Linked DNA regions of Saccharomyces cerevisiae S288C. Each later gene encodes a partner of the first gene's protein in a complex. Each region holds a gene or a part of one and is shown on either strand. Other genes may lie near its edges. The genes, in order: CET1 and CEG1. A codon is read from its position in the direction of its gene.

The links.
Region 2: the proteins of CET1 (region 1) and CEG1 are in contact, whole or in part, in a crystal structure (PDB 3KYH), measured with the Saccharomyces cerevisiae proteins. Residues at the interface, in NP_015096.1 of Saccharomyces cerevisiae: Ile246 (codon at 2,517), Trp247 (codon at 2,520), Ala248 (codon at 2,523), Gln249 (codon at 2,526), Lys250 (codon at 2,529), Trp251 (codon at 2,532), Lys252 (codon at 2,535), Pro253 (codon at 2,538), Thr254 (codon at 2,541), Lys256 (codon at 2,547), Ala257 (codon at 2,550), Ser260 (codon at 2,559), Ile261 (codon at 2,562); in NP_011385.3 of Saccharomyces cerevisiae: Leu262 (codon at 3,050), Trp295 (codon at 3,149), Val301 (codon at 3,167), Arg304 (codon at 3,176), His307 (codon at 3,185), Phe308 (codon at 3,188), Gln310 (codon at 3,194), Pro311 (codon at 3,197), Phe312 (codon at 3,200), Asp313 (codon at 3,203), Glu316 (codon at 3,212), Trp337 (codon at 3,275), Leu340 (codon at 3,284), Lys341 (codon at 3,287), Glu344 (codon at 3,296), Gln345 (codon at 3,299), Pro346 (codon at 3,302), Leu347 (codon at 3,305), Asn348 (codon at 3,308), Gly349 (codon at 3,311), Arg350 (codon at 3,314), Asp370 (codon at 3,374), Asp371 (codon at 3,377), Lys372 (codon at 3,380), Leu373 (codon at 3,383), Asn374 (codon at 3,386).

What each region holds. Positions count from the first base shown.
Region 1 is NC_001148.4:116,601-120,590, forward strand, and holds CET1 (polynucleotide 5'-phosphatase), read left to right. Parts: upstream 1-1,781; coding exon 1,782-3,431; downstream 3,432-3,990. Other genes in the region: YPL229W (uncharacterized protein), read left to right, coding at 467-1,087; ALG5 (dolichyl-phosphate beta-glucosyltransferase), read right to left, coding at 3,563-3,990. UniProt on the Saccharomyces cerevisiae protein: First step of mRNA capping. Converts the 5'-triphosphate end of a nascent mRNA chain into a diphosphate end.
Region 2 is NC_001139.9:263,879-268,081, forward strand, and holds CEG1 (mRNA guanylyltransferase), read left to right. Parts: upstream 1-2,266; coding exon 2,267-3,646; downstream 3,647-4,203. Other genes in the region: DNA-binding E3 ubiquitin-protein ligase SNT2, read right to left, coding at 1-1,981; mitochondrial 37S ribosomal protein mS29 RSM23, read right to left, coding at 3,845-4,203. UniProt on the Saccharomyces cerevisiae protein: Second step of mRNA capping. Transfer of the GMP moiety of GTP to the 5'-diphosphate terminus of RNA via a covalent enzyme-GMP reaction intermediate.

The DNA.
Region 1 (3,990 bases):
TGTTTTGTTCCATACTAAATGCAGTTTATAAAATTTTTCAAATGAGTCAAGCTATGTATAATCAGTGCTACAAAAATGATAAGATGCAATTGCAAGAAAAAATCCCTTGCATAAAGGGCTTTCTGACCTCTTGCGTTGATCAACGAGAAATAACCGCAAAACTTAATTTTAAACTCCCGCGTCTGCTTTACACAGCCCACAGTAGCATCAAAAACTACGATGTAACACTAACGGTGGATTGTGAATACGGAACGAACAATCCTGCATCTTGACTTCAAAACTTGATCATATACACCTATACCGCCATGGTTATCTCGCCCTTACGCTCACCCGGACCCCCGTTAATTGCAATAATAAGAAAAAGAAAAGAAAGAAGCTTTTTATCTCATTTCACTGACAAGATGACGCTTTTTCCGATTTTAGCAGATAAACTATCACATATAACCACTTTTTTATATTACATGAAATGATGCCCTACAACACCCCTCCAAATATCCAAGAACCTATGAACTTCGCAAGCAGCAACCCCTTTGGTATTATTCCAGATGCGCTCAGTTTCCAGAATTTCAAATATGATCGTCTTCAGCAGCAGCAACAGCAGCAGCAACAGCAGCAACAAAATCGCACTGCGTCATCGTTACAGCAGCCGCAACAGCAACAACCAATAAGCCCGCCTTTGTTTTTAGTAGGGGCCGGTACCAGCGAAAACTCAAACCTTAACAAGAATGCCAACACTAGTACTATCCCTCCTTTACTCTTTAGCAGATCGTCTCAGCATTATGTTGTCCCAGATATAGACCACTCCTCCATAATATACAAGAACAACATCTGCAAATCTTTCAAAGATGACTTATTTTTCTGTCCAAGATCTTTACTTTCTCTCGAAGAACAACAAGCATGCGAGAAAATGGATAGGCTGACCGCTGAACAAATGTCATTGTATCATCAGAACACGCAATCCAGTTCTAATCCTGGTTCTATGTCTTCTTCACCTCCAAATTCTGCTTCTTCTATATTCAACTCTAGGCCGAAGTTCAATCCTTATACATCTCAAAGTTTTAATCCTTTGGAAAGTGTTCAAGAATGATCGCGATATGGACAAACACGTTGTTTTGATTTCTTTTTTGCATATTCCTCATTTGAACAAATCTTGTGTCCATGTTATGTTACGTTATGTTATATTATGTCAAGCCGTTTCATTTCCTACTTATTTTTAATTATCGGTTTCTTCTATTCATGTAGTTCACTATTCAATTAGTATATGTAGATAAAAGGAGAAGGGTTTTATCTGCAAACAGACGCAAGACGTATGTACTAAGCACTAAATACTCATATAACCATATTCTTTCAAAAATACATGCCATTTTTCTGTTTCATAATAATCCTGGAGGCTACAAGTATGGTGATATAATAAATCTTGAACCTTGTTTTACTGGAACTCCTAAAGTCAAGCCATACATAATGCCAGAAACAGGACCTGCGTAGATAACATATAACATGTACCAGTCATGATTACCCAACGTGCCGTTACAAATGATATATAGACCTACATTTTAGTTAGTTTCGTCGTAAGTTATGGTAATAAAGGAAAAGTCCTCTAATGAATCTATAATATAGGTTCACACAAATAAGAGTGATAATTAAAAGCGTATTCGACACTGAAAGATCTGCTGGGAATACTATACTGATATTTCCAAAATATCCCTTATAAATTGAATCTGGAATAGCACTTCTTTTTTTAAAAAACCTTGAATTGTTGGTAGCATTTCTATCCTCCCACTATGAGTTACACTGACAACCCTCCTCAAACAAAAAGAGCTTTATCGTTAGACGATCTGGTGAATCACGATGAAAATGAAAAGGTTAAATTACAAAAATTAAGTGAGGCGGCTAATGGCAGCAGACCTTTTGCCGAAAATTTAGAATCTGATATAAATCAAACGGAAACGGGCCAAGCTGCTCCGATTGACAATTACAAGGAGAGTACTGGTCATGGCTCGCACTCACAAAAACCTAAATCACGCAAGTCATCTAATGATGATGAAGAAACCGATACGGATGACGAAATGGGTGCAAGTGGAGAAATTAATTTTGATTCAGAAATGGACTTTGACTATGATAAACAACATAGAAATTTACTATCCAACGGATCACCTCCTATGAATGATGGTAGTGATGCCAATGCGAAGTTAGAAAAGCCTTCTGATGATTCAATTCATCAGAATAGCAAGAGTGATGAAGAACAGAGAATACCGAAACAAGGTAATGAAGGGAACATTGCCAGCAACTATATAACCCAAGTACCTCTGCAAAAGCAGAAGCAAACTGAGAAGAAGATAGCGGGAAATGCAGTAGGAAGCGTGGTCAAGAAGGAAGAAGAAGCGAATGCAGCTGTAGATAATATTTTTGAAGAGAAAGCTACTTTACAATCAAAAAAGAATAATATCAAGAGAGATTTGGAGGTTCTGAATGAAATATCTGCGTCTTCCAAGCCCAGTAAGTACAGGAATGTTCCAATTTGGGCACAAAAATGGAAACCTACTATCAAAGCTCTTCAAAGTATAAATGTGAAAGATCTCAAAATTGACCCATCTTTTTTAAACATTATTCCCGATGATGACTTAACAAAGTCAGTACAGGACTGGGTTTATGCTACAATATACTCAATTGCTCCTGAACTAAGATCCTTCATTGAGTTAGAAATGAAATTTGGTGTTATTATTGATGCGAAAGGCCCAGATCGTGTAAATCCACCAGTTTCTTCACAATGTGTTTTCACTGAGCTTGATGCCCATCTAACGCCTAATATTGATGCATCTTTGTTCAAAGAGTTGAGCAAATATATTCGTGGTATTAGCGAAGTCACTGAAAATACAGGTAAATTCAGTATTATTGAATCCCAGACAAGAGATTCCGTCTATAGAGTCGGACTATCCACGCAAAGACCAAGGTTTTTGAGAATGAGTACAGATATTAAGACTGGGAGGGTAGGACAATTTATAGAGAAAAGACATGTAGCCCAACTACTATTATATTCACCAAAAGATAGTTACGACGTTAAAATCTCCCTAAACTTGGAATTACCTGTACCTGACAACGATCCGCCAGAAAAATATAAATCTCAAAGCCCAATTAGTGAAAGGACGAAAGACCGTGTTAGTTACATTCATAATGATTCCTGTACCAGAATTGATATTACAAAAGTCGAAAATCATAACCAAAATTCAAAAAGTAGACAATCAGAGACCACTCACGAAGTGGAACTAGAAATCAACACGCCTGCACTGTTAAACGCCTTTGATAACATAACGAACGATAGTAAAGAATATGCATCTCTTATTAGAACGTTTCTGAATAATGGTACAATTATTAGAAGAAAGTTATCGTCTTTATCATATGAAATTTTTGAAGGTTCAAAGAAAGTCATGTAATATTTGAATCATTTCAAAAAAAAATAAGCAAATGCCCTTGAGCGAGAAATTTTTTTTGTTTACTCAAATGCTGTTATGAAAGCTTATGTAATAATAATAATAATGATAATAATAACATAAAAATAATTACTCTAACATTTCTTATTATCTCTATATATCCCTAATAAATAGGCCATTCTTATAATAACCAAGTCTTTCGCCATTTTGATACTATCAATAGCTAAAGCCATCTTAGAGCCATCAACCTCATGCCAGGAAATTGGTATCTCCTCAATTTGGATTCTTTTTCTGATGGCTAAGATCAAAATTTCAACGTCAAAGATCCAACCCTCTGTATGCAAATACGGAAAAATTTTCAATATAGCGGCTCTGTTGAACAATTTGAATCCACATTGTGTGTCTTTGATAGACCTGATGCCGAAGATGAAAACTAAGGTATGGAAACCGTACATCAAGCAGTTTCTTATCATTGATCTCTTTATGACGGCTTCGGTATTTACCATATGTGCTCTGGAACCAATTGCTACTGCTGGTTTAGTCGTTTTTAGATCTGTACTAG
Region 2 (4,203 bases), on another chromosome or scaffold:
TACAAAACATGCATTGGAAGGAGGATTCTGCTAAAGAGAGTTTCTCAGTATCAAAAGAAGAATCATCTATATACTTTGTCTCTACGTCATTTTCATGATTAGCGATTTCTTTTTTTCTTTTATTCTTTGATAACTTACTCAATTTCCCTCTCACGGTAAGGCCTCTTTCAGTCTTTTTCCAATTGTAATAAAATCTAACAATCATCGACATAGGTTGAGTGCCCACATACTCACACACTGGGCGTAATTCACTCCCAAATTTCTCGACAGCTTCCTCAAACTTTCGGATCTCCACGGCGGTAAAACTTGGCTCTTTCAAAAATTTTCTGGAAAGCTCCCTTTTACATTTTTTAAATGCCTCTGCTGTATCATAATTTGTAAATAATAAATTCTTTAGGACTACATCAATGAAATTACAAGTCTCACCTCTCACATTGAGAATAGGGCATATTTCGCTTTTGCATTGTTCAATATATTCACTCAATTTTCGAGTAGTAATTTTTGATGCATCAAGTACCCATGCTAGTTCCGAAGTTTTCGTTGAGCCTCGCTCTTCTTCTGAATTTGCACTTATATACGAGTTCCGCCTCCAGGGCACATTATGATTACATCCGTTCCATTGATACTTCACTCCTACCCTAGAGGGTTTGAAAGGATATGGAAAAAACATAGAATCATTTAATGCGTCACCAATATGAGAAATGGAATATATTCCTAAGTATTGAAACCAGCAATTTTCGGTATTATAACCAACATTCTCTTTGATAGCTTTGCTAGAAATTTCTTCAATTTTTTGTCTTACAGAGCGAATAAAATCCAGTTCCAGTGCTTGTTCTTCTAGAAACCTAACATGCGAGTCCTTAGTACCTTGTTGTTTCTGTAAGCAACTGAAGCAGGTCCAAACGACGTCTTTGTTCGGCTTCCTGTCAAGTGGCGGATCCATACAGTATAGATGTGCACAAACGCCGCATTCATCACATGAAAGGCTCTCCTTTTGGATACACCATTCTTTACAGAACTGACATCTTTTATCCCATTGGTAGTCTGCAGGACTTAATTCGTTTACCTCTAGTTCATGGAAAACGTATTTCTTCAAAACGTTCTCCAATGGATACTTCGGTTCTGTATAGATATAACGAAATCTCCTATTCAAAACATAAAGAAATGGCGACTTACTGTTCCATTTATTTAATATTTTATCCGTGCTGTAAACTTTGTAATATTTCAAAGTATATCTGTCAAAAAGTTCATCAAAGTAAAAGATATTGGGTCGTATAATGCATTCCTTCTCATTAGGAAGAACATCAAAAACTTCGTCTTTATGAAATATACTACATTTTCCCCTGTATGATGAAATAGGACATATGTCCTGGTGTAATGATGCATACACCAACCTTGGGTTAAAAGTATTTACGTGCTCTTGAATATCCCTAGGACGATAAAACCAATTCATTCTAACTTGAAAAAATTTAGCAGGGAAGACCGATGTTGTCTTTATAGCTTCATGAATAGTGTTAGAAAATTCTGGTTTACTAACAAAATTTACAACTCTGCCAACATAATAAGGCTCGCCAGCAGGCTCTGATATCATATAAATAGTGTCGTTCGCAGATAAAAGGACAGATTCTGTATTGAAAAGAGACATCTTTTTCAAGTCAATCATGGCATCATCTAGATCAAGTATGTTAGAGAATCTGCTATTCTTTCTGAACGAAGGGGGTAATGTAGGGATAAAGTTCCAGCAAGTATTCTTATCATGAAGGAATTTTTGGTACTTGAATTTCTCGTTTCTACTAGCTGGATTGCTTGTCCTTTTACAATTCCTGGGAGTTTGGCTATTGCTACCCTTGGTCTTAGCACCACTTTTTTCCGCTATTTGTATTTGTTGAACTAATTTAGTATCTATTTCCATTTCATTATAATTCACGTTTTTAGCAGCCTCTCTTCTTCTAGGTAATTGGAAATCTTCTTCTTTAGGCATAGCGTGACCAGCTGAAAGGCAGATGATCTCAATATGTCCCGATAGGCCAATTTTGCCACCAGATAGTTCGATGGCATTTTATTTTTAGTCCTTTTGAAAGCAATATCATAAAATATATATAGTTCTCCATGATGTTCGGGTCAGTCGCTCCGAAGCGTAACCTAGTATAATAAATAGTTCATTGCAGAAAATAACGAAAGAAATGGTGGAATACGATCTGTTATATCTAAACTAAAGCTAACTAACGGAATAAGCAAATACGAATCGACCGCTAATTTAACAAATATGGTTTTAGCAATGGAAAGTAGAGTGGCACCGGAAATTCCTGGGCTCATTCAACCTGGGAATGTCACGCAAGACTTGAAGATGATGGTCTGTAAATTATTGAATTCCCCAAAACCTACGAAAACATTCCCTGGTTCCCAGCCTGTGTCCTTTCAGCATTCTGATGTGGAAGAGAAGCTGCTTGCGCATGATTACTACGTTTGTGAGAAAACAGATGGTCTGCGGGTGTTGATGTTTATAGTGATAAATCCTGTGACGGGTGAGCAAGGATGCTTTATGATTGATAGGGAAAATAACTATTATCTGGTTAATGGATTTAGGTTTCCCAGATTACCCCAAAAGAAGAAAGAAGAGCTGCTAGAGACTCTTCAAGATGGCACCTTATTAGATGGTGAACTTGTCATACAAACTAACCCAATGACAAAATTACAAGAGTTGCGTTATTTAATGTTCGATTGTCTTGCTATCAATGGTAGATGTCTCACACAATCACCAACAAGTTCTAGACTAGCCCACCTTGGAAAAGAATTTTTTAAACCATACTTCGATTTAAGAGCAGCGTACCCTAATCGTTGTACTACTTTTCCGTTCAAAATTTCCATGAAACATATGGATTTCAGTTACCAATTAGTAAAAGTTGCTAAAAGTTTAGATAAACTACCACATCTTTCTGATGGTCTGATATTTACTCCTGTGAAGGCACCTTACACTGCCGGCGGAAAAGATTCATTGTTATTAAAATGGAAGCCAGAACAAGAAAACACCGTGGACTTCAAATTGATTTTAGATATCCCAATGGTGGAGGATCCTTCTTTGCCTAAAGATGATCGGAACAGGTGGTATTACAATTATGACGTTAAGCCAGTTTTCAGCTTATATGTCTGGCAAGGCGGAGCTGATGTCAATTCACGTTTAAAACATTTCGACCAGCCTTTCGATAGGAAGGAATTTGAAATATTAGAAAGAACATACAGAAAATTTGCAGAGTTGAGCGTTTCAGATGAGGAATGGCAAAATTTGAAGAACCTAGAACAGCCATTAAATGGTAGAATAGTAGAGTGCGCAAAAAACCAAGAGACTGGGGCGTGGGAAATGTTAAGATTCAGGGATGATAAGTTAAATGGTAATCATACATCGGTGGTCCAGAAAGTTTTGGAGAGTATCAACGATTCAGTTTCATTGGAGGACCTCGAGGAAATTGTTGGTGATATTAAAAGGTGCTGGGACGAGAGAAGAGCAAATATGGCTGGTGGTAGTGGGAGACCACTACCGTCTCAAAGTCAAAATGCGACATTATCTACCTCTAAGCCAGTCCATTCACAGCCCCCAAGTAATGATAAGGAGCCAAAATATGTAGACGAGGATGATTGGTCGGATTAGGCTAAGAAGTGTTCGTATCGACATATATCGGTGTAAGAATTTTGTGTATGAATAAGATAGAAAAGCAAAAGCAATTGCTTTTGCTAAATTAATTCAGTTAGTTATCTATTTATATGTACATGAGAAATGGGAGAATTTTGAGAAGCGAGGGTGAAAGTGTTATATACGCATATACATGTATATATATGCGCATGCTTATCACCTATGGGAAAGGACTAAACTTTTCAATAATTCTCTTGGGTTACCGTTACCACTTAGGAAATATTTTTCGTCAATCAAGTTCTCCCACTTTTTTCCTGTGATATCCTTGTCTAATAAAACATTTGATTGTTTGTAGTAATCGATTAGTTCGTTAACTTCCTGTTTGTTCAGTTTAGGAACCTCGAATTCGGTGACATTACCTTTTTGGAGCAATTCTACGAACTTCGGTTCATAGTGATATCTAGTAACATAGGGGTCTACTGGGATCTTGCCCAATGCCACGGGTAAAGTTTTGTTTGTCCTGTCAACGCCGGATATAGCTAATATAGTAGAACTCTCACCATTAGCAAATTTCG